Linked DNA regions of Anolis sagrei. The protein of the gene in region 1 purifies or fractionates together with the protein of each later gene. This does not show direct contact. Links are inferred from orthologs where the notes say so. Each region holds a gene or a part of one and is shown in the gene's direction. Other genes may lie near its edges. The genes, in order: PPP3CC, RCAN3 and RCAN1.

The links.
Region 2: the proteins of PPP3CC (region 1) and RCAN3 purify together in Homo sapiens (affinity purification with mass spectrometry; 3 studies listed by BioGRID and IntAct, counting the BioPlex papers as one, with this or other methods). This does not show direct contact. The link is inferred for Anolis sagrei from reciprocal best matches to the Homo sapiens genes PPP3CC and RCAN3.
Region 3: the proteins of PPP3CC (region 1) and RCAN1 purify together in Homo sapiens (affinity purification with mass spectrometry; 3 studies listed by BioGRID and IntAct, counting the BioPlex papers as one, with this or other methods). This does not show direct contact. The link is inferred for Anolis sagrei from reciprocal best matches to the Homo sapiens genes PPP3CC and RCAN1.

What each region holds. Positions count from the first base shown.
Region 1 is NC_090027.1:1,199,215-1,208,924, reverse strand, and holds the start of PPP3CC (serine/threonine-protein phosphatase 2B catalytic subunit gamma isoform), read left to right. Parts: upstream 1-4,792; 5' UTR 4,793-5,040; coding exon 5,041-5,095; intron 5,096-9,710. UniProt on the Homo sapiens protein: Calcium-dependent, calmodulin-stimulated protein phosphatase which plays an essential role in the transduction of intracellular Ca(2+)-mediated signals. Dephosphorylates and activates transcription factor NFATC1.
Region 2 is NC_090034.1:77,019,336-77,029,157, reverse strand, and holds the start of RCAN3 (calcipressin-3), read left to right. Parts: upstream 1-5,356; 5' UTR 5,357-5,424; exon of another isoform or gene 5,425-5,444; intron 5,445-9,822.
Region 3 is NC_090023.1:70,560,591-70,571,120, reverse strand, and holds the start of RCAN1 (calcipressin-1), read left to right. Parts: upstream 1-5,705; 5' UTR 5,706-5,991; coding exon 5,992-6,237; intron 6,238-10,530. UniProt on the Homo sapiens protein: Inhibits calcineurin-dependent transcriptional responses by binding to the catalytic domain of calcineurin A. Could play a role during central nervous system development.

The sequences.
Region 1 (9,710 bases):
TTCTGGGACCCCTTCCACATAGCCATATAACCCAGAATAAAAATCCCACAATATCTCCTTTGAACTGGATTATATGGCGAGAAGCTCGGCCTGTCATTAAAGATCGAGAAAACCAAAGTGCTCTTTCAGCAGTCACCCGACTATTTATTTATTTAAAACATTTATATTTCGCCCGTCTCACCCCGAAGGGGATTCAGGGCGGAGCACAGCATATATACGGCAAACATTTAATGCCAATCCCTCTCCAATGCCAGCTTAACGGTGTAACATTAGAAAACGTTGACCATTTTCGCTCCCTTGGCAGCCACCTCTCCACCAAAGTCAACATTGACACCGAAATACAATACCACCTGAGCTTTGCGAGTGCAGCTTTTTTCCAAATGAAGCTGAGAGTGTTTGAGGACTGGGGCATCTATAGGGAGACCAAGGGGCTTGTTTATAAAGCCATTGTCCTCCCAGCTCTGCTATACGCCTGCGAAACGTGGACTGTCTACAGACGTCAACATTGAGGCTGAAATACAACATGGCCTGAGCTCTGCGAATGCAGTATTTTTCCAAATGAAGCAGAGAGTGTTTGAGGACCAGGACATCCGTAGGGATACCAAGGGGCTTGTTTATAAAGCTATTGTCCTCCCAACCCTGCTGTACGCCTGCGAGACATGGACTGTCTACAGACGTCACATGATACTCCTGGAACGATTCCATCAGCACTGCCTCTGAGAAATCCTGCAAATCTCTTGGGAAGACAAGCGGACAAACGTCAGCGTGCTGGAAGAAGAAGCAAAGACCACCAGCATTGAAGCGATGGTCCTCCGCCATCAACTCCGCTGGACCGGCCATCTTGTCTGGATGCCTGACCACCGTCTCCCAAAGCAGTTGCTCTACTCCAAACTCAAGGGCGGAATATGGAATGTTGGTGGGCAGGAAAAGAGATTCAAAGATGGCCTCAAAGCCAACCTCAAAAACTCTGGCATAGACACTGAGAACTGGGAAGCCCTGGCCCTTGAGTGCTCCAGCTGGAGGTCAGCTGTGACCAGCAGTGCTGCAGAATTTGAAGAGGCACAAATGGAGGGTGAAAGAGAGAAACGTGCCAAGAGGAAGGTGTGTCAAGCCAACCCCCACCGGGACCGCCTTCCACCTGGAAACCAATGCCCTCACTGTGGGAGAAGATGCAGAGCAGGGAAGAGGGCTCCACAGTCACCTACAGATTCACTCTGGAAGATTCTCCTACTCAGACAACGAGGGATCACCTAAGTAAATAAGATGGCAGTGTGGACTCAGATATCCCAGTTCAAAGCAGATATTGTGGGTTACCTGCCTTGATATTCTGGGACCCCTTCCACACAGCCCTATCACCCAGAATAAAAATCCCACAACTGGGTTGTATGGCAGTGTGGACTCATCCCAGTTCAAAGCAGATATTATGGGTTACCTGCCTTGATATTCTGGGACCCCTTCCACACAGCCCTATCACCCAGAATAAAAATCCCACAACTGGGTTATATGGCAGTGTGGACTCATCCCAGTTCAAAGCAGATATTATGGGTTACCTGCCTTGATATTCTGGGACCCCTTCCACACAGCCCTATCACCCAGAATAAAAATCCCACAACTGGGTTATATGGCAGTGTGGACTCAGATATCCCAGTTCAAAGCAGATATTGTGGGTTACCTGCCTTGATATTCTGGGACCCCTTCTACACAGCCCTATAACCCAGAATAAAAATCCCACAACTGGGTTATATGGCAGTGTGGACTCAGATATCCCAGTTCAAAGCAGATATTATGGGTTACCTGCCTTGATATTCTGGGACCCCTTCCACACAGCCCTATAACCCAGAATAAAAATCCCACAACTGGGTTATATGGCAGTGTGGACTCAGATATCCCAGTTCAAAGCAGATATTGTGGGTTACCTGCCTTGATATTCTGGGACCCCTTCCACACAGCCCTATAACCCAGAATAAACATCCCACAACTGGGTTATATGGCAGTGTGGACTCAGATATCCTAGTTCAAAGCAGATATTATGGGTTACCTGCCTTGATATTCTGGGACCCCTTCCACACAGCCCTATAACCCAGAATAACAACATCTGCTTTGAACTGGGTTACTCGAGTCCCCACTCCAATACATTCTAGTTCAAAGCGGATAATGTGGGATGTTCCTCAGCTGTGTGAAAGCGGCCTGGTTATCTGAGTCCCAGAACAAAGCAGATGGATGTGGGATCTTATTCAGCTGTGTGGAAGGGGCCTGACTGGAAGGGCCCTCAGTTTCAAACTCTCCCCATCTCAAAACTAAGCTCCTCAGAGGCCTAGCAGTTTCAAAGTCTGGCTTCTTACTGCCTGGGGAAAATCCTTTATTTTAAAAAAAACCTCCAAAATCATAACACGTTGGCAGTCTTCATGAAGAACTTGAAGACCTGGCTATTCCGATGTGCGTTTCCGGAATAGGATAACCCCCAAGACTATGTCCCAGAAGCACTTTATTAGAGTTTAAGACTCTCTGCACTCTGCACTTGCCCGGAAATCCAAAATACCACCTGCCACACCCAGCACTTTTTAACCTGTACCCGTCACTGGCCCGGCCCTGGTTTTTATTGAGTAATTGATGTATTTTTTTTCTTATTGCTTATGTTTTAATTTGCTTTAAATTGTATTGTTATTGTTTTGCTGTTGTTGTGTTGAGGCCTTGGCCTTTGTAAGCCGCATCGAGTCCTGCGGGAGATGCTAGCGGGGTACAAATAAAGTTAATAACAATAATAATAATAATAATAATAATAATAAATAAAGAACAACAATCAAAAGCAGGAGAACTCCAGACAAGAAACAATCAGGGGCAGCTAATCACCTTCCAACAAAGGATTCCCCCAGGCAGAATGAAGCCAGACTTTGAAACTGCTATGCCATTCAATGCTAATCAAGGTGGCCAATTGTATCATTTCCTCAAACAGGGAAGAGTACTTTCTTTCTCCCACCCAGGGCATCATTCTTTGGAAGCTTTGAAACAGGGGCTGGCTGGCCATCTGTCGGGGGTGCTTTGAAGGCAATATTCCTGCTTCTTGGCAGAATGGGGTTGTACGGGATGATGGCCCAGGAGGTCTCTTCCAACTCTAGGATTCTATAAGAAACAACCAGGGCCAGCTAATCACCTCTCAACAAAGGATTCCTCCAAGCCAGACTTTGAAACTGCTTTGCCATTCAATGCTAATCAAGGCGGCCAATTGTAACATTGCCTCCAACAGACAAGAGGTCTTTCTTTCTCCCACCCGGGACATCATTCTTTGGAAGCTTTGAAACAGGCTGGATGGCCATCTGTCAGGGGTGATTTGAGTGCAATATTCCTGCTTCTTGGCGGAATGGGGTTGGACTGGAGGATGGCCCAGGAGGTCTCTTCCAACTCTAGGATTCTAGGATTCTATAAGAAATAATCAGGGCCAGCTAATCACCTCCCAACAAAGGATTCTCCCAGGCAGCATGAAGCCAGACTTTGAAACTGCTTTGCCATTCAATGCTAATCAAGGTGGCCAATTGTAACATTGCCTCCAACAGACAAGAGTTCTTTCTTTCTCCCACCCGGGACATCATTCTTTGGAAGCTTTGAAACAGGGGCTGGATGGCCATCTGTCAGGGGTGCTTTGAATGCAATATTCCTGCTTCATGGCGGAATGAGGTGGCACTGGATGATGGCCCAGGAGGTCTCTTCCAACTCTAGGATTCTATAAGAAACAATCAGGGCCAGCTAATCACCTCCCAACAAAGGATTCCCCCAGGCAGTATGAAGCCAGGCTTCGAAACTGCTATGCCATTCAATGCTAGTCAAGGTGGCCTATTGTAACATTGCCTCCAACAGACAAGAGGTCTTTCTTTCTTTCTCCCACCCTGGATATCATTCCACAGGTACAGAAACCCCCTTTTCTTAAGTTTCCACAGGAGTCACAACCTCTGAGGGTGCCTGCCACAGATGCAGGCGAAACGTCAGGAGAGAATGCTCCTGGAACGTGGCCAGACAGCCCGGAAAACCTACGGCCACGCCGTGATTCCGGCCTTTCAGGAAAGCCTTCGACGGCCCAGCTGCGTTTCCTAGCAACTCCAATTACTTTTCAAAATGGCGGAATGAAGGAGGAGGAGGAGGAGAGCGGGGTCACGTGACCTGGGGGAGCCTCGGCTTTCCTCCCCCTCCCTCCCCTTTCCCGTGACGTCGACCAATCAGAACGCGCGCTCTTCGGAGGAAAAGGCCTCTCCCTGCGCATGCGCGACAGTGTTAGAAGCCTGTGGGGTGAAGAAGGAAGGCAGACAGGCGGGAGGGAGTTGTGTTGCGCATGCGCGTTGGCGGGACCTGGCGGGGTCACGTGACCTAGGGGAGCCTCGGCTTTCCTCCCCCTCCCTCCCCTTTCCCGTGACGTCGACCAATCAGAACGCGCGCTCTTCGGAGGAAAAGGCCTCTCCCTGCGCATGCGCGGCTGTGTTAAAAGCCTGTCGGGTGAGGAAGGGAGGCGGGAGGGAAGGGGTCGTGTTGCGCATGCGCGTTGAGCGGGCACGGAAGCCTTGACAGCTGCAAGTGGGAAGAGGAGCGACGCCGGCGCATGCGCGGTGGAGAGAGGGCGCTGAGAGGAGGGCGGGGTCACGTGACCTGGGGGAGCTTCGGCTTGCTCGTTCTCTCCTCTTCTCTTCCCCCTCCCCTTTCGCGTGACGTCGACCAATCAGAACGCGCGCTCTTCGAAGAAAAGGCCTCTCTCAGCGCATGCGCGGCTGTGTTAAAAGCCTGTGGGGTGAGGAAGGAAGGCAGGCGGGAGTGAGTTGTGTTGCGCATGCGCGTTGAGCGGGAACGGAAGCCTTGACAGCTCCAAGTGGGAAGAGGAGCGACGCCGGCGCATGCGCGGTGGAGAGAGAGAGAGCGAGAGGGCGCTGAGAGGATTCCCCAGTTGTCGCGCCGCCACTTCCAGCGCCGCCTCGGCCTCCTCCTCCTCAAGAGAGAGAGAGAGAGATCCCCGGTCCCTCCTGAGGGGAGGCAGGAGCCGGCCGGACCGGCGGAGGGAACATGTCCGGGCGCAACTTGAGCGGGAAGCTGTCCACGACGGAGCGCATCGTCAAGGGTGAGCCTGGGGGGCTCCCTCGGGCGGGTGGGGCCACTTCCGCCAGGCCGGCAGGAGGAGGAGGAGGAGGAGGAGGAGGAGGAGGGAGGGCCTCGCTCGGGCCTCCTTCCCTGGCAGCAGGGGAAGGCCTCGCCGTCGCTATGGAGAAGGACCCTCAAGGGGGGGGAGGGGGGTACATTCCCACGCCAGACCCCCCCTTCTGAGGAGAAAGAAGGCCCCCAGCACGTTGCCACGGAGGGAGGGAGGAGGGGGGAGGGGCCGCACCGCCCTGAAAGACCCCCAACATGCCTCACATGGGGCTGGCTGGGGGCTCAGGGGATACAGGCTTCGCTCCGTGCACAACACGGGGAGAATGTTACCTCCAAATCCCCTTCAGGAGGTTCAGTGTGCCCAGTGTGAAGTTTCAGGCACAACATGGGTAGAATGACAGCTTTCAGGTGGTTCAGTGTGCCCAATGTGAAGTTTCATGCTCAACAAATACCTTTCAGGTGGTTCAATGTGCCCAATGTGAAGCTTCATGCAAAACATTGGTAGACTAATAGCTTTCAGGCATTCCAATGAGCCCAATGTGAAGTTCCTTTCACAACATTGGTAGAAATATTATATCTAATTAGCTTCCAGGTGGTTCAGTGTGCCCAATGTGAAGCTTCGTGCACAACGTTGTTAGAAATATTATATCTAATTAGCTTCCAGGTGGTTCAATGTGCCCAATGTGAAGTTTCATGCACAATATTGGTAGAAGTATTCTATCCAAATAGCTTTTTGCTGTTTTAATGTGCCCAATGTGAAGCTTCATGCAAAACATTGGTAGACTAATAGCTTTCAGGCATTCCAATGAGCCCAATGTGAAGTTCCTTTCACAACATTGGTAGAAATATTATATCTAATTGGCTTCCAGGTGGTTCAGTGTGCCCAATGTGAAGCTTCGTGCACAACATTGTTAGAAATATTATATCTAATTAGCTTCCAGGTGGTTCAATGTGTCCATTGTGAAGCTTCATGCACAATATTGTTAGAAATATTATATCCAAATGGCTTTTTGCTGATTCAATGTGCCCAATGTGAAGTTTCATGCTCGACAAATACCTTTCAGGTGGTTCAATGTGCCCAATGTGAAGCTTCATGCAAAACATTGGTAGACTAATAGCTTTCAGGCATTCCAATGAGCCCAATGTGAAGTTCCTTTCACAACATTGGTAGAAATATTATATCTAATTAGCTTCCAGGTGGTTCAGTGTGCCCAATGTGAAGCTTCGTGCACAACGTTGTTAGAAATATTATATCTAATTAGCTTCCAGGTGGTTCAATGTGCCCAATGTGAAGTTTCATGCACAATATTGGTAGAAGTATTCTATCCAAATAGCTTTTTGCTGTTTTAATGTGCCCAATGTGAAGCTTCATGCAAAACATTGGTAGACTAATAGCTTTCAGGCATTCCAATGAGCCCAATGTGAAGTTCCTTTCACAACATTGATAGAAATATTATATCTAATTAACTTTCAGGCAGTTCAATGTGCCCAATGTGAAGTTTCATGCACAGCATTGGTAGAATCATAGCTTTCAGGTGGTTCAGTGTATGCAATGTTAAGCTTCAAGCACAACACTGGTAGAAATATTATATCCAAATAGCTTTGTACTGGTTCAATGTGCCCAATGTGAAGCTTCAAGCACAATATTGTTAGAAACATATCCAAATAGCTTTCAGGCAGTTCAATGTTCCCAATGTGAAGTTCCATGTACAGCATTGGTAGAATAACAGCTTTCAGGTGGTTCAGTGTACCCAATGTTAGGCTTCAAGCACAACATTGGTAGAAATATTATGTCCAAATAGGTTTCAAGCAGCTCAATGTGCTCAGTGGGACGTTTCATTCAAAACATTGGTAGAATAATAGCTTTCAGGCAGTTCAAAGTGCCTAATGTGAAGTTCCTTTCACAACATTATTATATCTAATTAGCTTCCAGGTGGTTCAGTATGCCCAATGTTATGTTTTATGCATAATATTGGTAGAATCACAGCTTTCAGGTGGTTCAGTGTACTCAATGTTAAGCTTCAAGCACAACACTGGTAGAAATATTATATCCAAATAGCTTTCAGGTGGTTCATTGTGCCCATTTTGAAGTTTTATGCACAATATTGTTAGAAACATTATATCCAAATAGTTTTCAGGTGGTTCAATGTGAAATGTCATGCACAATATTGTTAGAAATGTTATTTCTCATTAGCTTCCAGGTGGTTCACTGTGCCCAATGTTATGTTTTATGCATAATATTGGTAGAATAACAGCTTTCAGGTGGTTCAGTGTATCCAATGAGAAGCTTCAAGCACAACATTGTTAGAAATATTCTATCTAAATACCTTTCAGGTGGTTCAACATACCCATTGTGAAGTTTCATGCTCAACTCAAAGTTTCATGCATAATATTGTTAGAAATATTCTATCTAGATACCTTGCAGGTGGTTCAGTGTACCCAATATTATGCGCAACATTGGTAGAAATATATCTAATTAGCTTCCAGGTGGTTCAATGTGCCCAATGTTAAGTTTAATGCACAACATTGGTAGAATAATAGCTTTCAGGTGGTTCACTGTACCCAGTGTTAAGTTTCATGCACAATATTGTTAGAAATATTATATCCAAATAGCTTTCAGGTGGTTCGATGTGCCCAATGTGTAGTTTCATGCACAATGCTGTTAGAAATGTTATATCTGAATAGCTTCCAGGTGGTTCAGTGTACCCTATATTATGCGCAACGTTGGTAGAAATATATCTAATCAGCTTCCAGGTGGTTCAGTGTACCCAATGTTAAATTTCATGCACAACATTGGTAGAAATATTATATCCAAATAGCTTTCTGGTGGTTTTATTTATGTCAGAAGTGAATTGAGAGTACAGTTAAAATGTATAGAAAAACCACAAACAAAGCTAAAAACTTGGCATTATACTACATTCCCTTTGACTAGAAGGGAGCCACTTCCAGTGCCTCTGGTGTCACTGGTGGTTCAATGTGCCCAATGTAAAGTTTTATCCACAGCATTGTTAAAAATATTACATCCAAATCGCTTTTAGGTGGTTCAATGTGCCCAGTGTAAAGTTTCATACACAACATTGTTAGAAATGTTATATCCAAGTGGCTTTTAGGTGGTTCCGTTTGCTCAATGTTAAATTTCATGCACAACTTTGTTAGAAACATTTTATCCAAATAGCTTTTAGGCGGTTCAATGGGCTCAATGTTAAGTTTCATGCACAACATCCTTAAAATACTATCTCCAACAAGCTTTCAGGTGGTTCAGGTGGAATGTGTATCAGGTGTAGATGACCTGTGGGATTTTAAAACACAATTAAAGTCCTATCTCTTCCAGCAGGCCTATCCAGTCAGTTTTAAATAATCAATTTTAATGTTACATTGCATTAATACTATTGCATTTCTTTGTATTCACCTTCTATCTCCCTAGAAGGAGACTTAAAGCAGATAACAACACTGAAAACAGTAAAATATTAGTATTATATTTTAATCTGTGTACTATGTATTTTGATATTTGTTTTATACTATATTTTATCTGGATGTTTTAACTGTTTTGTGTCCAACTCAACTATGGGGAGTTGAAGGAAACAAATAATGTTGTTATTTATTATATGAAATGTAAATATAAATGATTTTTGAGTTCAGACTTGGGTCAAAGATCTCTCATTATCTGACCCATTCAAAACAAACTCATAATCGGTTGCACCATAAAATGGGCGTGAGTCACTTTGAGTGAGATAGGAAAGCTTACCCATCTGCTGCATTACAGGTTGAGTATCTCTTATTTGAAATACTTGGGAGCTGGAGCATATTGGATTTTTTTTATTTTGGGATACCTATATTTTCATATACAGACATCATGGGATACCTTAAAGATAGGACCCAGGTTTAAACATGATATTATAATTTATGTTTCCTCAGTACACACATACCCTGAAGGCAATTTTATGTAATATTTTGGGCATGAGACAACTTTTATGTGCATTGAGCTACCAGAAAGCAAAAGTGTCACCATCTCAACCACCTGTGTTGAGAATTTTGGTACATTTTTTATTATTTCAGAATTCTGGATAAGAGATGTCCAACCTACATATGGGATTTAATATGATGGAATAGGGCCCTTGATTTAGTTTGAGTGGCATTGATTTAAGTAGTTATTTAGCAGCTATTTAGATGAAATGAGAAGATCACATTATCCCTTCATCTCCCACCTTAATTCTCCAGTTGCAGTGTTATATGGCAGGAGAGCTAATTGGCTACACAGTTTATTTTGATTGAGGTTGCTCTGCAGAATGCCAGGTGATGTAGGGTATACAGGTAGTGAGTTGCAAACCATGTCTATGCATTTCTTGCCTAAGAATACCCCATAAAATTCACAGGTCACCATACCTTGATGAATGACTTGAAGGCAAATGCCAGCTTTGCAGAAGTCTTGAAACACAGAGAAGTGGAGTGGGAGACTGACTCTGGCTTTCTGTTGCTGTCACAAAACATAAAATTGCACAAGTGCCAGCCTGAGGCAGGGGGAGATTTGACTCTGTCTGTCTTGGGAGTTGGGTTAAGTTGGTCCCATGGGTTAAGATGAGAAATGC
Region 2 (9,822 bases), on another chromosome or scaffold:
GGGGAAGGTTGTCACTAAGTAGAAATTTCACATAAAATTTCACTGGACTTGCTGGTAAGTTTCTCAGTAGGGGGTTGATTATGTGTGCTCGGGGTTGTTCACAGAAACTGCAAGACAGTAGAATGTAGTAAATGCATTCTACTTCCTGTTTGTTACATGGGCAGAGTCTTTCATTATATGGGGTACCTGCAAATCTTCCACGCAGCAATTCAGACGGAAGCACATTGCACCTTGCTTTGGAAAACATCAGTATTTGGCCACAATAATAATTTTTTTTTTTGTCGTGTCAGGAGCGACCTGAGAAACTGCAAGTCGCTCCTGTTGTGAGAGAATTGGCCGTCTGCAAGGATGTTGCCCAGGGAACGCCCAGATGATTTGATGTTTTATCATCCTTGAGGAAGGCTTCTCTCATGTCCCCGCATGAGGAGCTGGAGCTGATAGAGGGAGCTCATTCGCTCATTCGCCTCTCCCCGGATTCAAACCTGCGACCTGTCGGTCTTCAGTTCTGCCAGCACAGGGCTTTAACCCACTGCTCTAATAACACAGATACCTATAAATCAGTTGTAAATAAGCAATTGTCCTATTTAAATAAGCTTCAACATAGGTACAAGTTTAAGTAACTTCAATAGTGAAACACACAAAATATATACGGTTTACAACATAATTTCATAGGACATATACATCAATGAATATATCAAACTTAAAGGCAGTTCACATTGTGTTTAGTACATTTGAGAATATGTCCATGATCTTACAACAAAAGTTCACATTGTATTCCACAAACTTGAGAGTATCAAAACTGGAAACAGTTCGTGTTGCTTTCAGCCAACTCGGGAGTCCACAACAAGGTTCCCCGGGTGCTTTTGTGTCCTTGTTTCAAGAACAAAATTATCTTCTTCAGGCTTCTGGATGGCCTTGAGTATTTTCCGTTGGTCATGGGCGTTCTGTGTGGGAAGTTTGGCCCCATTCTGTCGATGATGGGGTTCAGAACACTCTTTGATTATAGGTGAACTATAAATCATGCGATGTTCGGGGCTTGGTGAATGCAAAGCTGGGGTGAAAATTGCTGGAAGAAACATTAACAACCTCAAATATGCAGATGACACCACTCTGATGGCCGAAAGTGAGGAGGAGCTGAGGAGCCTTCTAATCAAGGTGAAAGAAGAAAGCGCAAAAGCCGGGTTGCAGCTAAACATAAAAAAAAAAACCAAGATTATGGCAACAAGAATGATTGACAACTGGGAAATAGAGGGAGAAAATGTGGAGGCCGTGACAGACTTTGTATTTCTAGGCGCAAAGATTACTGCAGATGCAGACTGTGGCCAGGAAATCAGAAGACGCTTCCTTCTTGGGAGGAGAGCAATGTCCAGTCTCGATAAAATAGTAAAGAGTAGAGACATCAGACTGGCAACAAAGATCCGCATAGTCAAAGCCATGGTATTCCCTGTAGTAACCTACGGATGTGAGAGCTGGACCTTAGGGAAGGCTGAGCGAAGGAAGATCGATGCTTTTGAGCTGTGGTGTTGGAGGAAAGTTCTGAGAGTGCCTTGGACTGCGAGAAGATCCAACCAGTCCATCCTCCAGGAAATAAAGCCCGACTGCTTGATATCGAGCTGTTTTTAGGAGGGTTTCCCCAGCCGGGGGAAATCCTTGAGGACCGCACCAAAGAGAGTCCTGGAAACCTTGGTGAGGCCAGCGAAGCCAATTCCAGCTGTTAAAATATTAAAAATAATAATACCTTACCAAAGCGGAAGAAGTTCAGCGACCGAGGTGTTTATTAGCGATTCAGCTGCAATTGGATGCATTGCAGGGATAATTCCACCACAAGCATAAGCATACAGAGACCAGGAAGCATTTTTATAGCAAAAGTACAGTTTCGCAAATTTGAAATTCCCGCCCGCCTTCCCCACCTGGCTTGTCAGTGATTGGTGGATGGCCGAACAGCTGGGAGGAGGCTTGCCGAACCTCCCCCGCGCTCAGCCAATCACCGAGCTCCCTCGCTTCGGGCGGACCAATCAGGATCGTCCGGCCGCTTCGAGGGGCTAGCGAATCAGGAGCGAGGAGGCGGGATGAAGAAATGACAATGGAGGGGAAGGATTATGACAATCTTGACCAAGAATCTTCCTGCGTCCGGGGCAAAGTCGGGCCAGCAGTGAAGACAGTTATTGTTTGAGTCAATGGGTGGGTGATTGAACCAATCTGACTTTTCCTGTCAGTGCCGGATTAGCTGAGTTCAGTGAAGAGTTTCGAGTGATATGATCAGGGTTGGGCACAGGACCCCCTGATGGGCAGTCTCACCCTTATTGTCCTTGGTAAATTAGTTTCTGACCGGAGGAAGAATATCACTTGTTGGCCATGCTCCGAAGACAAATGAAGAAACTTCCTGAACTATTGTCCATGCAAGGGATGAGCAAATATGAGTTCCATTGTGGGGCAAATGACCCCTCGGGGCAGCTGTGCACGATTCAGTCTTTTGCTTCATAGTTTTAGTAGGGCAAAGTTAAAGGGTAAGACAAGCAATGTTTCATAGCAAGATACATACATACATTCAAATCATAAGCATTTCATAGCAACAAAAACCCCATCTTTGTCCCACATCCCAAGTATATTTAATAAAAGGATTAATTTTCATGAAGAAGTCTGAAGTCCAATGTTTTAAAAGGTCTTTGAGGAAAGTTCATGAGGGAGATAGTATGTACTCAAGTCCAAAACAGGCAGGCAGAGAGTCCAATGATCATTGGGAAGACTGGCAGATGAAACCCCAGCTGTGCTGCAACTGATTCATGCTTTTGTTCCTTGGGAAACTACAACTCTCACAAAGGGCAGAAGTCGCAAGATCCAGCCATTTCCCAAAAGCCTCGTGGGATCCTTGTTGTTGTCAGTGCCTTGGCAATGTGACCAAGACTTAACCCTTGTTGTGTAGTCTGGTGCCCTTGCCCTTTGCAGAACTACAAGTCACTATCCCTTATTTTTTTGGGGGGGGGTGCTTGACATCATTCTCATTGGAGGGAAGGATACTAGAGACAAAGTTGAAGTACTTTGGCCACATCATGAGGAGACAGGAAAGCCTAGAGAAGACAATTATGCTGGGGAAAGTGGAAGGCAAAAGGAAGAGGGGCCGACCAAGGGCAAGATGGATGGATGGCATCCTTGAAGTGACTGGACTGACTCACCCCACTCAAACCCATCGTGAGTGCCATTGGATCCCCCACATACGACCTAGCAAAATTTCTTGCTGCACAGTTACAAAGCCATATTGGGCTCACTACACACTACATCAAGGACTCAGCCCACTTCATAGAAAAAAAAAATCAGCAATCTCAAGCTGATCAGCTTCGATGTGGTATCTCTATCTACCATGGTCCCGGTAGCAGACACCATGGCACTCATCAACCAGAGGTTCCCAGAAGACATCACGGCTCTGTTTCACCATTGCCTCACCAACAGTTACTTTCAGTGGGACAATGAATTCTATGAACAGAAAGATGGAGTAGCTATGGGGAGCCCTCTCAGCCCGGTCATAGCTATCTTTACATGGAACACTTTGAAAAACAAGCCCTGGAGACAGCAACCAAAAAGCCCACGATATGGTTCAGATATGTGGATGACACCATCACCATTTGGAGCCATGGAGAAGAAGAACTCAACAGGTTCCTGGACCATCTTAACAGCATCCACCCAAACATCCAGTTCACCATGGAAAAAGAAAATGAAGGAAGACTGCCTTTTCTAGATGTCCTAGTCATCCGCAAACCAGATCAACAATTGGGTCACACCGTCTACAGAAAACCCACACACACAGATAGATATCTACATAAAAACTCCAACCATCACCCAAGTCAAAAAAGAAGCAAAATTAAAGCCTTGGCAGACCGTCCAAAAAGAATCTGCGAACCCCACCTCCTCCAAGATGAACTGAACCACCTCAACTGGGCTCTCCAGGCCAATGGATACTCCACCTCAGACATCAGAAGAGCTGCAAGACCAAGAACAAGCCACGAGAGTCAAGACAAAGATCCACCCAGAGGAAAAGTGTTCCTGCCATACATCAAGGGAACCACTGACCGCATAGGGAAGCTGATGAGGAAACACAACATACAAACAATCTACAAACCCACCAAGAAAATCCAACAAATGCTACGTTCAGCAAAGGACAAGAGGGATCCTCTCACCTCTGCAGGAGTCTACCGTATACCATGCAACTGTGGACAAGTCTACATAGGGACCACCAAACGCAGCATTGTCCAGACACGCATCAAGGAACATGAAAGGCACTGCAGATTACTTCAACCAGAGAAGTCAGCCATAGCAGAGCAGCTGATGAACCAGCCTGGACACAGCATATTATTTGAGAACACAGAAATGCTGGACCACACCAACAACCACCATGTCAGACTACACAGAGAAGCCATTGAAATCCACAAGCATGTGGACAATTTCAACAGAAAGGAAGAGACCATGAAAATGAACAAAATCTGGCTACCAGTACTAAAAAACTCTAAAATTATAACAGCTAAACAACAGAGAGGAAAAAACCAGGCACAGATTAACACCTCCCAGCAACAGATTTTCCCAGGCTCAGGCAGGCCTTCAAATGCTAATGAAGGTGATCAGCTAAACATTCACACCTAACTGCAGCAGGGAAGAGCTCCTTGCCCCACCCAGCCATTCCACAGATATATAAACCCATTGTCCTAATTCCAACAGACCTCACTACCTCTGAGGATGCTTGCCATAGATGCAGGCGAAACGTCAGGAGAAATGCCTCTAGAACATGGCTCTATAGCCCGAAAAAACCCACAAGAACCTAGTGATTCCAGCCATGAAAGCCTTCGACAATACGACAAAATCATAATTTTTGAGTGATGGTCACTCCTTGTGTTGTGAGACGTTTTGTTGCCAAATGTGGTGTGATTTCGTTCATTGGTTCTTTTGTTTTTAAGATACTCATTATGCACAGAGCATTGATAGATAGATAGATAGATAGATAGATAGATAGATAAGATAGATAGGGAAGGGTTTGTTTTGCTGTCTGTGGCCCTGTTCAGAAGATTTCGCCTCACTTTCTGTTGTCTCGCCCCCAGCTGTTAGGAATTGTGGGAGTCGAAATCCAAAACATCTTAAAAGAAGACCCAAGTTGGCCGATGCCCCATTCCCTGTCTTGCAGGAAAGGGGAGGGGCGGGCTTTAGCTTGAGCACGTGACGCCACCCACCAATCATAGCGAGCAGAAGATACGATGGCGTCATCCTCCCCAGGAGGTGGAAAAAGAAAAAAAAAGCCTCCATCCGGGTTCTTCTTTCCAAAGTGAGAGAGCGAGGAAAGAGACGCGCGGGCATGCGCACACATGCGCGCCGGGGAGTTGAGAAGCAGGCGCGTGCCACAGCGCGTGCGCGGTTGTGAGGCGCTTGCGCTGCCCAGACGCGGTGAGTCTTTCCGAGAGGCGGTGAGTGAGGGAGAGGGGGAGAAAGAGAGGGAGGGTACTCATAGAATCCCCTTCAAAGCAGGGATTGTGGGACTTTTCTGCCTTGATATTCTGGGTTATATGGCTGTGTGGAAAGGCCTTTAGATAGCCCAGTCTGAAGGCCATGAATAATCCCTATGAGGAGCATCTTAAAGAGCTGGGGCCATCATAGAATAGATTCTGGAATTCATAGAATCCTAGAGTTGGAAGAAACCTCATGGGCCATCCAGTCCAACCCCCTGCCAAGAAGCAGGAAAATTGCACTCAAAGCACCCCTGACAGATGGCCATCCAGCCTCTGTTTAAAAGCCTCCAAAAAAGTAGCCTGTACCACACTCGGGGGCAGAGAGTTCCACTGCTGAACGGCTCTCACAGTCAGGAAGTTCTTCCTCATGTTCAGATGGAATCTCCTTTCTTGCCTTAGTCACCTCCAGATTGGATTACTGTAATGCACTCTATGTGGGGCTGCCCTTGAAAACGGTCCGGAAATTTCAATTGGTACAACAGGCAGCAGCCAGGTTACTAACTGGTGCGACTTACAGAGAGCAGTCAACCCTCCTGTTTAAGGAGCTCCATTGGCTGCAGTTCATTTTCAGGTCCCAATTCAAGGTGCAGGTTCTTACCTACGAAGCCCTGAATGCTTTGGGACCCGCCTACCTGCGTGACCGCATTTCTGTGTACGAAGCTGGAGCCCCCGGTGGCGCAGTGGGTTAAACCCCTGTGCTGGCAGGACTGAAGACCGACAGGTCGCAGGTTTGAATCCGGGGAGAGGCGGATGAGCTCCCTCTATCAACTCCAGCTCCTCATGCGGGGACATGAGGGAAGCCTCCCACAAGGATGATAAAAAACATCAAATCATCCAGGCGTCCCCTGGGCAACGTCCTTGCAGATGGCCAATTCTCTCACACCAGGAGTCACTCCTGACATGACAAAAAAATATGTGTACGAACCCACACAATCTCTTCGATCATCTGGAAAGGCCCTGCTCACGCTCCCACCTCCTTCACTGGTGGGGACGAGGGAGAGGGCCTTCTCAGTGGTAGCCCCCCAACTCTGGAATTCACTTCCCAAGGACATCAGACATGCCCCAACTCTGGCAGTCTTTAGTAGGAGCCTGAAAATGTGGTTGTTCCAGTGTGTCTTCCCAGAATACGGAAAACTCTCAGCAATATGTCCTCGAAATGCACTTTACCACTGATTTAGGACTGACTGCGTTCCCTCATCTCTTTTTGAAAACCCTGTACCAGTTATGTCCTACCTTGTTCTTTTTAAATTTAAAAGTTATTACATTTGGCCCGGCCATTGGTTTTTAAATGTTTGCATGTTTATTGTTTGTTGTCTATGTGATTTATATTAATTGTATTGCTTGATTGTTTTGTTATTGCTTTTGTTATTGATGTACTGTGGGCTTGGCCTCATGTAAGCCGCACCGAGTCCCTTGGGGTAGCGGGGTATAAATAAATTATGATTATTATGATTATTGTTTGAAGCCATTGTTCCATGTCCTAGTCTGCAGGGCAGCAGAAAACAAGCTTGCTCCCTCCTCCCTGTGGCTTCCTCTCACATATTTATACATGCCTATCATGTCTCCTCTCATCCTTCTCTTCTTCAGGCTAAATATGCCCAGCTCTTTAAGCCGCTCCTCATAGGGCTTGTTCTCCTGACCCTTGATCATTTTAGTCGCCCTCCTCTGGACACATTCCAGCTTGTCAATATCTCTCTTGAATTGTGGTGCCCAGAATAGGACACAATATTCCAGGTGTGGTCTAACCAAAGCAGAATAGAGGGGTAGCATTACTTCCCTAGATCTAGACACTATGCTCCTATTGATGCAGGCCAAAATTCCATTGGCTTTTTTTGCCACCACATCACATTGTTGGCTCATGTTTAACTTGTTGTCCACAAGGACAACAACTCCCATAATTCCTAACAGGTAGTACATAGGTTGGGTTACTGTGAGTTTTCCGCATCTATGGCAGGCACCCTTAGAATTTGTGAGGTCTGTTGGAAACTAGGTAGGAGGGGTTTATATATATGTGAAATGATATCCAAGGTGAGAGGAAGAACTCTTGACTGTTGGAGGCAAGTGTGAATGTTGCAATTGATCACCTTGATTAGCAATGAATGGCCTTGCAGCTTCAAAACCTGGCTGCTTCCTCCTGGGGCAGTCCTTTGTTGGGAGTTTTAGCTGGCTCTTATTGATTCCTGTCAGGAATTCCCCTTTATTTGCTTTATTTATTGTCCTTATTTTAGAAGGTTTTTTAAAATACTGGGGAGCCAGATTTTGTTCATTTTCATGGTTTCTTCCTTTCTGTTGAAATTGTCCACATGCTTCTTGTGGATTTCAATGGCTTCTCTGTGTCGTCTGACATGGTGGTTGTTGGTGTGGTCCAGCATTTCTGTGTTCTCAAATAATATGTTGCGTCCAGGTTAGTTCATCACCTGCTCTGCTATGGCTGACTTCTCTGGTTGAAGTAGTCTGCAGTGCCTTTCATGTGCCTTGATTCGTGTTTCAGCGCTGCTGCTGCATTTGGGGGTCCCTATGTAGACTTCGTGCCTTGGATCATGAGAAGATCCAACCAGTCCATACTTCAGGAAATAAAGCCCAACTGCTCATTGGAGGGAAGAATAGTAGAGGAAAAAATGAAGAACTTTGGCCACATCATGAGAAGAAAGGAAAGCTTAGAGAAGACAATCTGGGGAAAATGGAAGGAAAAAGGAAGAGGGGCTGACCAAGATGGATGCGTGTTATCCTTGAAGTGACTGGCTTGACTCTGAAGGAGCTGGGGGACGTGATGGCCGACAGGGAGCTCTGGCATGGGATGGTTCATGAGGTCACAAAGAGTCGTGGAATGAACAACAACAATGTAGACTTGTCCACAGCTGCACAGTATGCGATAGACTCCTGCAGAAGTGAAATGATCCCTCTTGTCCTTTGCTGAACAGAGCATTTGTTGGATTTTCTTAATGTAGATAGTTTGTAGGTTGTGTTTCTTCCTCAGCTTCCCTCTGCGGTCAGTGGTTCCCTTGATGCATGGTAAGAACACTTTTCCTCTGGGTGCATCTTTGTCCTTACTATCATGGCTTGTTTTTGATCTTGCAGCTCTTCTGATGTCGGTGGCCTCTAGAGCCCAGTTGAGGTGGTTCAGTTCACCTTGAAGGAGGTGGGCTTCGCAGATTCTTTTTTTTAATTAATTTTTTATTTCAAAAAGATAATACACCAACCATATATATTGCAGAAATATACACAAACACATACACATATGTAGACAACCCGCCACCCACAGTATAGTTATCCCTCAACCCACCTCCAGTGCTCCCCACCACCTTGGTTTCCATCACTGATCCCTGCAGGATTTATGCACATCTTGTTTAACCCTATACTTCTAATTCAATAAATTCCTCTTGTTTTTATTTCTTTAGCTCTCCCGTCAAATATGCTAAGGCCAACTTCCAGTTTCTTTCAAATATTTCATGATTTTCATTTTTCAAATTGCTAGAAATCTTAGCCATCTGTGCATAATCCCACAGTTTATCCTTCCAATTTTTGATGCTTAATGTTTTCTCCCCTTTCCAATCTTTGGCAATTGTAATGCTTGCAGCCACAAAGCTGTACAAACAAAATTCTCTCTCTGGTTGTTCTAAGCATTTCTGAATATCCCTAATAGGCACATCCCTGGGTTGTTTTTTTTACTTTGTTGTGAATCATTTTATTTGTTTCCTTTATTATTCTTTTCCAATAGACCTGCACCAGTTCACAAGACCACCATACATGAAAAAAGTCCCTTTCTTTGTTTTGCACCTCCAACAGGAACCTGTTTGTGAATTGTCCAGATTCTTTTTCCACAGTCTGCCAGGGCTTTAATTGTGCTTCTTGGTTGGAGTTTTTATGTAGGTATCTATCAGTGTGTGTAGGTTTTCTATAAACTATGTGGCCCAATTGTTGGTTGGGTTAGAGGTGACCAGGACATGAATCAATCAGTGCCAGCTAACACCTCCAAACAAAGGATTCCCCCAGGCAGCAATCAGCCAGGCTTTGAAGGAGCAAGGCCATTAAATGCTTATCAAGGTGGCCAATTGCAACATTCACACCGGTCTCAAGCAGACAAGAATCCTTTCTCCCACCCTGGACATCATTCCACAGATATATAAACCCTATTTCCCTAGTTTCCAACAGACCTCACAACCTCTGAGAATAGTTGTCATGGATGTGGCAAAACGACAGGAGATAATGCTTCTGGAGCATGGCCAGATAGCCCAGAAAATTCACAGCAACCCAGTGATTCCAGTCATGAAAGCCTTCGGCAGCCGGTAGGCTATTAGGAATTGTTGGAACATCTGGTGGGAGGGCTGAAGTTGAC
Region 3 (10,530 bases), on another chromosome or scaffold:
AGTTCTGTGACTGTCTGGCAGTGGTGGTAGCAGTGACATGGGCCCAATCCATACCTTTTTTATGCACTAATGACTGCAGAGAAAAGGAGAGGGAGTCAGTGCACCATATGGACAGAAGACTGATCCTTGTTGGAGCAGGCCCTGCTGTCCACTAGGCCTGGGTAACAACAGAAAAATTTGTTTCTAAAATCGATTCGTTTTTGGGGGTTTTTGCGTTTCGATTTTTAAAAGAATTCCGAAATTTTTCTTTTAAAAAGTTCGATATTTACGAAATTTCGTAAAATTACAAAACAATACGAAACAATTATGAAACAATTACGAATCGATTCGTTAATGGCGGACACGACCGCGCAATACGCCAAATGGGACAGGGGGAACTTCTGAAGCTTCTCTCTCCCTCTGTTGTTGACTGTTGGTGTGATATTTATAATTTTTTTTCACTGATTAAACAAACAACAACTATAAAACTTGCCCCAGACATGCGGAAATAATAACGAAACGATTTCAAAACGATAACGAAAGAATACAAAACGATAACGAAACAATTACGAAACGAATTTAAAAATTCGTTTCATTTTTAAGTTGCTCCTGAATGGTTCGTTATCGCTTCGTTATAAAAAAAATAACGAATTTTTAACAAATTACGAAATTACGAAACGAAACCGCCCAGCCCTACTGTCCACACTAAGTCAAAGCCATGGGGCTGCTCCAGAGTTTCAGCCAAACTCGGAAACATCCCTGACTTTTCTGTCATTATCTGTCATTTTCTGCCATTATAAAGATAGCCAAGAGTGACTATACAATGAGAGTGGGCTATTAAGCTCTTGCAGACAAGCCCTGAGATGTGGAATGGGATATCTCCAACTTTTTACTCACTTGTGGATCACAAGCTTGGTGAATCAATGCCTTGAGTGAGCTAAAATGACAAGTTGGTAAAGACCTTCTGTGGCCATGTAAGAGAAGAGATATCTGAATTCTGAGTTATCATGCCTTAGGATCCTTTTATGAATTAGTTCTAGATCAAGCCCTGTGTACAAACCTTATAAATTTAGACTGTTTCAGTGGTGCATTTCATTATGGTATGGTTAGTTTGTGCCTCATTTGGCCCAATGATTGAGGTTGGAATCTCTTTTACAAAAAAGTATGTAGCAAGGGAAAAATTTAAAATGGGGGGGAAAGGATGCCATCTGTGTACAATGTTCTCAGCTCCCCCGCAGTAAGCTGATTAGGGGCAATCAGCTCCCTTCCCAGCTGCTTAAATTCTCCTGCTGAGAATGAGTTTGCTTCATGAAATGAAAGAAAAGTATTTGCATGAGCAGAAAGTGGAGGTGGCCTGAAGGAGCAGCATGAAGAAAAATTAGCAAGCACCACCAAAACATTTTAAGCACACTGATTATTCTAGGCTCTTAACATGGTGATTTAAATGGCTTTACAATTACTGACAAGGATTTCAAGAGGTTTTGTATTTGCATACCTGAAGAGAAAATGCTTTTTTTTCTTTTTTGCTGGTGACGGGATCTCAAAACTCCCAGTTAAGCTGCAGCATAATCAAGTTATTTCATAAAACATAGGATCAATCATAGGACTCATGACAGATGGCCACACAGCCTCTTTTTAAAAACCTCAGAGATGGAGACTCCACCATGCTCCAAAGCAGCATAATTCCACTGTCAAACAGCTCTTACTACCAACATTCTTTTTATGTTTAGGTAGGATCTCTTTTCTTATATTTGAAACCATTACTCTCTATTCTGGTCTCTAGAGAAGGTGAAAACAAGCTGGATCCATTTGCAATATGACATTCTGCAAATATTTAAATATGTCTATCATGTCACCTTTGAATCTTTCCTTCTCCAGACTATTCAAGTTCTCAGTTTGACTTGGAGGTCTGTATAGTAATAGTAGTAGGAGTAAAACTTTATTTATATTATAGTAGACCTCCTCACAATTACATCCCTGTTGTTTCTTTCTCCTTTAATTTCTACCCAGATCCTCTCAACTTGACTTCCAGGAATTAGGTCATGAGGCTCTTCACAGGTGTGAAAATCTTTGACCAAAAGAATGCTATGCCTCCTCCTTTCCTGTTTGCTCTTTTTTCCCAAAATAGATTATATCCCTCTATGATCACATTCTAATCATGAGACCCATCCACCAGGTTTCACCTAATAGATTTGTTACAGTTCTATTTTGACTGTCCAGCAAATGCCGCTGGAGTGGGGTAACAACAATAACACAATGCTACATAAAAATACTGAAAAACAAAGCAAAAAGAATAAACCATACACTGTCTCATTCAAAGGCTTAATAAGCAAAGGTAGTGCCGAGTGTGTGACTTCATAGAAGTCACATTCTCTCAACCTAAGGGGAAGGCAATGGTATGCTTCTTCTGAACAATTCCTTCCAAGAAAGCCCAGTGAGAATTTCACTTTAGGGTTTCTATGGGTACAAAAAAAATCGAGGGCACAAAACCACAATAATAATAGGAACTATTATTGTTCCTATTCCAAGTCCAAGAAAAATTGTTCTTGGACTTGGAATTCTGATTCTGAGATCCCCCAATTTCCCCATCATCTTTTGTGTACCTAGGGTCCTTCCACACAGTCCTATATCCCAGAATATCAAGGCAGAAAATCCCACATTATCCAAGTATGGACTCAGATAACACAGTTCAAAGCAGTTATTGTGGGATTTTCTGCCTTGATATACTGGGATGTAGGGCTGTGCGGAAGGGCCCCTAGACTAATTGTCACACTAGAGAAAAAATCCATTTAAAATCCAGTTTCTGCCTCCTGTAGAATTCTGGGGTTTGTAGTTTAGTAAAGCTGTTAAAGACTCCTCCCAAAATTACAAGCCCCAAAATTCTGCAAGAGGCAGAAACTGGATTTTAAGTGGATTTTTTCTCTAATGTGATGAAGTAGTAAGCTAGAACAGCTTCCTTGTATCAGAAGAGAATATGGAAAGTAATGTTTTAAAAACAGCTTATTGGCATTGCTTGTTGTGTTGTTTTTTGTTTAGTATTCCAAAAGTAATATCTTGCCAGAACTCATCTTTATATAATACAATACAAAACTGACCAGCACAAAACATAATTTTAAAAATAAACCTCTTTTTCTGTTTCTTAGTTTTCCTTACTGGAAGGGAAAGAATGGTGTAAAAGAAAAGGTAATTCCAGTAAAATGCCTAGAAAAATCCTTTTGAGAAATAATCTTAAATCATGACTATAAAACATTAACCGCTACACCAATAAAGGTAATGTGATTCCCAGGTGTAGTACTTTTGAATATAACTTCAATGCATCATTGTTACTCACAGAGTAAGCAGAAGTAACTACTTTGCTTGTAACTCATTAATTCCCAATTCGGTGTCAGATTAGCAAGGTAAATGGTAGAGAAAAGGACCCTTTCTTTCCACAAGATAAATAGGATGTAGAGAAGAAAGGAAGGGGGAAGCAGAAGTTACAAGGGTTGATTGCATCTTGGTTCAAATATTAGAAAGAAAGGTGGAAAGTTCAGCAGGACACAGCATAAATAAGGAGATCAGATAAAGAAGAATGGAAATGGGCGAGGACTCTTTCACACTCTTCTGCTTACCAGACAGCTATTTAGATGCCATTTCCTCCATATAACACAATACACATAATGGGCCATCTAGACAATAGCATCAGTTTTTCCGTTCTTAAGTTCTTCAGAGTATTTGATGTAGGAAATCAGATACAAAGAAAAAGGGCCTGTCATCACTTACTTTACTTCTATAGTATTATAGGCCCTGGTATCTGTTGTACTGTGTAAAGCAGTGGTTCCCAACCTTTGATCCTCCAGTTGTTTTGGACTTCAGCTCCCACAAATTCCTAACAGCTGGTAAACTGGCTGAGATTTCTAGGAGCTTAAGTCCAAAATAACTGGAGGACCAAAGGTTGGGAACCACTGGCGTAAAGGCATCCCAACTGAAAAGAGTGCTATATGCATTGCTCACATATTTATCTTGGTTATTTATTTATTGTGTCAAAAGAAAATTGATAATACAGTTATAATGTGTAGAAAAACCACAAACAAAGTTACAAACTTGGCATTCTATTAAATACCCTTTGACCAGTAGCTGGCCACTTGGAGTGCCTCTGGTGTTGCTATAAAAAGGTCTTTCATTGTGCATGTAGCAGGGCTCAGGCTGCATTGTGGTTTGATCTTTGCCACAATCACATGTCGTGGACTCCACTTTGTAACCCCATTTCTTAAGGTTGGCTCTGCATCTCGTGGTGCCAGAGCTCTGTCTGCTCTGTAACTTCCAAGTCACCCAGTCTTCTGTGTGTCCAGGAGGGTCTCTCATCTGAATTTTTTTTTCATGTCAGGAGCGACTTGAGGAACTGCAAGTCACTTCTGGTTCGAGAGAATCGGCCGTTTGCAAGGACGTTGCCCAGGGGACGCCTAGATGTTTTACCATCCTGTGGAAGGCTTTTCTCATGTCCCAGCATGGGGAGCTGGAGCTGACAGAGGGAACTCAACCCGTTCTCCCCGTATTCAAACTGCTGTCCTATTGGTCAGCACTGAGGTTTAACCCATTGTACCAGTGGTATCAGCCACTTTTGGACTCTTGCTTGCTGAGGTGTTTCTGCAAGTATTTATCCTGGTGTAGGAAGTAGAATCTACTTGAGGAACATTTTTTTCCCTAATGGATGCCTACTTTGAAAGTACTTCCATTAGTTGATAGGGAACAAAATCTTGGGAGAAATTATTTCCATGTGTGTATTTCCTTAGTAACCACTCGGTGGCGGTGTTTGATCACCTATTTAAAATATGTTTTTCTTTTAGAACAGTTTTTTTAAATATTCTAATCTATTCCAGGGTTTATAGCATCATAGTCCAGGCTATATGGCCATGCTCCAGAAGCATTCTCTCCTGATGTTTTGCCCACATCTATGACAGTAATCCTCAGAGGTTGTGAGATCTGCTGGAAACTAAGCAAGTGAGGTTTATATATCTGTGGAATAATGTCCAGGGTGGGAGAAAGAACTCTTGTCTGTTTGAGGCAAGTGTAAATGGAAGTGTAAAAAAACAGGGGAATTCCAATCAAGAATCAATCAGGGCCAGCTAATGCCTCCCCACAAAGGATCCCCCAGGCAGCAACCAGCCAGGCTTTGAAGCTAAAAGGCTACTAAATGCTAACCAAGGTGACCAATTGCAATATTCACACTTGCCTCAAACAAACAAGAGTTCTTTCTCCCACCCTGGGCATTCCACAGATATATGAACCTTACTTGCCTAGTTTCCAACAGACCTCACAACCTCTGAGGATGCTTGCTATAGATGTAGGTGAAATCTCAGGAGAGAATGCTTCTGGAACATGGCCATACAGCCTGGAAAACTCACAGCAACCCAGTAATAACCTCTGAGGATGCTTGCTATAGATGTAGGTGAAATCTCAGGAGAGAATGCTTCTGGGACATGGCCATACAAACTCACAACAGCCCAGTAATAAACTGCCTCATAAAGCAATGTAGATGGGGCCAGTATTAAAGCAACCTTGAAGGTACATCTCCCGAAAGCGTCTCTTCAAAGGGCCAAGAAGGGGGGAAAACGGCCGGCGGTGGAGACCTCAGTAAGGCAACACAAGCTGGAGGTGCCCTCACCCAAGATGGCGGAGGTGGAGTCGGGACACTTCTAGGCAGGACACCGGTTGAAGGCGAAACGGAGCACTCTGATTGGCGGAGTAGGCGTCAGTGCGGGGCGAACGCACGGTGCCCTCATCCAAGATGGCGGCAGGAGAGGAGGAGGAGGAGGCGGAGGCGGAGCCGGGCCCCTTCGAGTTGGGTCACCTGTTGAAGGGCCCGTCGAGCGGCGTGATTGGCTCGCCCCAAGAGCCTGCGGCCTCCCTTCCCGCCTCGGCGTCGATGGGATAGGGTTAAAAAGCCGAAGCCCTGGGGGCGGCGAGGCCTCGCTCTCTCTGTGTGTGTCTCTCTTTGAGGTACCACCCCCGGCTCCTCCCCTTCAGCCCGGCATGGAGGGGCTCGAGAGGCGGCGCGAGAGGGAGGAAGAAGGAGCGGCGTCAGGAGGAGGAGGAGGAGGAGGAGGAGGAGGCCAGGAGGCGGCGGCGGCGGCGGCGGGAGAGGCCAAGGCCGCGGAGGAGCCTCTGGACTGGACCTTCGTCGACATGGAGACGGCGATGTCGCTGCAGGACCTGCCCGCCGCCCTCATCGCCTGCAACCTACCGCTGGCGGTCTTCTTCCCCGACGGACCCAGCAGGGTGAGACCCCCAAGGCCCGCCTGCCCCACCTTGGCATTCATGCTGCAGAGGCGCTTCTCTGGCAAACTTGGGCCCTCCAGGTGGGTTGGGCTTCAACTCCCACCATTCCTAACCGCCTCAGGCCCTTTCCTTTCCCCCCTCAGCCGCTTAAGCGGCTGAGGGGGAAAAGGAAGGGGCCTGAGGCGGTTAGGAATGGTGGGAGTTGAAGCCCAACCCACCTGGAGGGCCCAAGTTTGCCTGAGCAAGAGCATGCCATTACCCTCAAGGCACATCACAGTGACTATGCCTTTCACTGTGGTACTGGTCTGCAGGATTTCCAGGACACAGCTAACAAAACATTCAAATGAGCTGTTCAGTAGTGGAACTCTCTGCCCCAGAGTGTGGTGGGGGCCCCTCCCCTGGAGGCTTTTAAAAAGAGGCTGGAGGGCCTCTGTTTAATTCTTCCTGCTTCTTGGTAGGGGGTTGGGCTGAATGGCCCACCAGGTCTCTTCCAACACTATGATTCTGTGATAATCACCACTGCAGATCCCTCACTCTTTTAGCCAGTCATTTTATGCGCACTGTTGTGGTCATTTAGTCAACTGCCACAAATACTTGGGACCAATAGAACTCTAGAGTTGGAAGAGACCCTAAGGGCCATCTAGTCCAATTATCAGCCATGCAGGAGCCCCCGGTGGCGCAGTGGGTTAAACCCTTGTGCTGGCAGGACTGAAGACTGATAGGTCACAGGTTTGAATCCGGGGAGAGTGCAGATGAGCTCCCTCTATCAGCTCCAGCTCCACATACAGGGACACGAGAGAAGCCTCCCACAAGGATGGTAAAAACATCAAAACATCCAGGCATCCTCTGGGCAACATCTTTGCAGACGGCCAATTTTCTCACACCAGAAGCGACTTGCAGTTTCTCATGTTGCTCCTGACACGACCAAAAAAACAAACAAATAAACAGCCATGCAGGGAGTCCCAGTTAAAGCACCTCCGGCAGATGGTATCCAGCCTCTGCTTAAAAGTCACTAGAGAAGGAGGTCCTACCATGTTCCAAGGCAGCTTATTCCACTGACGAACGGCTCTTACCATCAGTGGCTTCTTCCTATTATTATTATTACCTTTATTTATATTTCCCACCTTTCTCCCCTTGGGGACTTGAGGCAGCTAACATCTATCCCTGGCATGGGCAAACTTGGGCCCTCCGGGTGTTTTGGACTCCAACTCCCACAATTCCTAACAGCTGGTAAGAATTGTGGGAGCTGAAGTCCAAACCACCTAGAAGGCCCAAATTTGCAAGACCATGCCTTTATCTTCAAGTCACATCACAGTAACTATTCCTTTCATTGTGCTACTGGACACTAACCACAGCTAAACATTAAAATCACCACTGCAGCCCCCTTGCTCCTTTAGCCAGCCATTTTATGCTCACTGTTGTGGTCATTCAGTCACCTACTACCAATACTTGGGACCAACAGAACCCTAGAGTTGGAAGAGACCCCAAAGGCCATCTAGTCCAATCCTCAACCATGCAGGGAGACCCAGGCAGAGCACTCCCAGCTATCCAGGCTCTGCTTAAAAGTCTCCAGAGAAGGCGGTCCCACGATACTCCATGGCAACCTATTCCACTGATGACCAACTCTTACCATCAGGAAGTTCTACTACTACTACTTATTTTGATTTATATTTCCTGCCTTTCTCCCCATAGGGACTCGAGGCAGCTAACATCTATCCCAGGGATGGGCAAACTTGGGCCCTCTGGGTATTTTGGACTTCAGCTCCCACAATTCCTAACAGCCAGTAGGAATTGTGAGAGTTAAGTCCAAAACACCTGGAGGGCCCAAGTTTGCCCAGGCCTGATCTATCCACACTAAAGAGTTAAAAAAGAGAAATACAAAAAATAAAAAACAATTAAATAATAGTGTGGTAAAGACAGAATGAAAATACAGCTAATACATTAAAATGGCCTTTAGAACTCTTATCTCCTCTCCCAAACCCCACCCACCCTCCCTCCCCTAATGTTTAGGTGGAATCTCCTTTCCTGCAGTTTGAGACTATTGCTCTGTGTCCTAGTATGTGTTGTGATATGTTTCATGGCTACTCATATTCTGTCCTTTTAAATACGTGTTCTGGCTAGTCTATGTAGCACTGAAACCCTTTTAAGCCAATCCCATCAAAAATTATGCAAGTTTTCAAGATACCAGCTTCTTTTCTTTGGGTATGCTATTTTGAAAGGTGAGAAAGGGCGCAGAATGTGTCCTACCCAGCATGTGGCCTCATGATATAACACACCTGCAGGGTATTATACTGACAATTCTCCTTATATAATAAATGCATAACAGTTTGCATAAATTTATTATAGCTCATGGTATGGTGTATATGTTCTTATGGGTGCCACATGGCACATGTTATTTTACCGCATGGCTGGTAGGCATAATGTGCAGTGAAGGAATAGAAGAAATGTTCTGTGGAAAATTAGACTCCTTCCTGAGAGACATCTGTGTTATCTGAGGAAAGATGTAAGGGTAAAATTTTGCATGCATGCTCCCTTAGTTCTGATCCAGGATTGGCTGAAAAAAGCATCCCTGCATGTTTCTACTGTGCAAATTTGTTGGGCTACAATAGTTATTCTGGCCCCCTTAAGCATGATCTGTTGCTATGGGGTGTATCTACACCAGTGTTTCTCAACCTCTGCTCCTCCAGGTGTTGTGGACTTCAGCTCTCAGAAAGCTTACCAGCTGTTAGAAATTGTGGGAGCTGAATCCAAATCACCTGGAGAAGCAGAGTTTGAGAAACACTGATGTACATAACACCCCATAGCAACAAATCATGCTTAAGGGGACCAGAAGATACTGATCTACACTGTAGAATTAATGCAGTTTTATACACCTCTTTAACTGTCATGATTCAGTGTTCTTTGGCAAAGCTGTGCTATGCTTCTAGTGTTGCAGCCATAAGATTAATCCACCGCAAAACAGCAAATTTTGCCAGGAACTATATGGAGTAGGATTGAGCATCTATTTTCATCAAGGCTATTCAGTACAAGAGTATCATTATGGATAATGATGGATTTAATTTTAAGATGCAGGGACCTGCAGCAAAATGTAGGGTATCAATTTAAACATATAGTACTATAAAGATCCCTTAAGGGGCTAATTAGCAAGCCCTGAACAGACCCTTGAACAGACCCGCCCCTTTGCATGCTGTAGCTCAGCTATTTTTAGTAACAACTCCAAGCATGATTACTGTATTGTGCTGGTGCTACATGGTTTCTGTTCTAGATTTAGGCTGGGCGCATTCAGGAGCACTGTAGTTAGGGTTCTAACAGCAAGAGTCCTTTTTACAAGAAACACCTGTATTTAGGAACAACAGCCAGGAAGAATTATGTGCCCGGACTGCTATAGCAACATGTGAGAAGCATCCATATATAATCCTTGGTCTACGTATTTTGGGGCTTAATCTATTTTTGGAAACCCAGTTTTTATACATGAATTTCTTTTACTGATATTTATTGGCATGGAGCCACGCACTTTTAAAGTTAAACGTTCTTATATAAAAACCATACTCAGTGTCTTCATTGCCATTTTGTCAGGTAATTGTTAAATGGTTATTGTGTCTTATTGCTTAAGTGTGGCTTCTTAGAAGTTAGGTATCTTAATTCCATTGGGTATTACTCTAAAGTAGGCATGTACAGGATTGAGTACTGATTGTATAGTCCCAATTTGAGCTTATATTTTGTTGGGCTACTATGCTAGTATAAAACTAGTTGCACAAAAGAGGTGTGCTTTTACAGAGGTTTCATAAATGCACCCCCTAAACTCCTCTTACTTTTAACTTAATAGATGGGAGTTAATTGATCATTGCACAATGAATGTGTTCAGGGCCCTAGTGCCCATTGTGCAACGGTGAGATCCAATCAGCAGCACAACTGTGGGATCCAATGTATATTACACTATATTTATGATGTCCAAGATATGGCCAATCCTAGAGATACAGCGGTATATAAGCAAAGTAAATAAATAAATAAATATGAAAAGGAGGTCACAATGGGAAAGCATAAATGCTTTCTGTGTACTGGTTCCCTATATCATGATGTTCAAAGTAACTTTGGCTTCTCTTCAGCTACAGTAAATTTGAAATGGGAAGCTGCCTCTTTATGTCTTCTCATCCCTGCTCTTCCTGTAATTAATGCTATTTTAAAATAGTTGCATCTCTAGCCATCAGAGTTGTTGTTTCTTTTACGAGTTTATTTGACCAACTTACATACATACAAACTTACAGCTCCAAATATTCATTTGCTGGTTTGCTT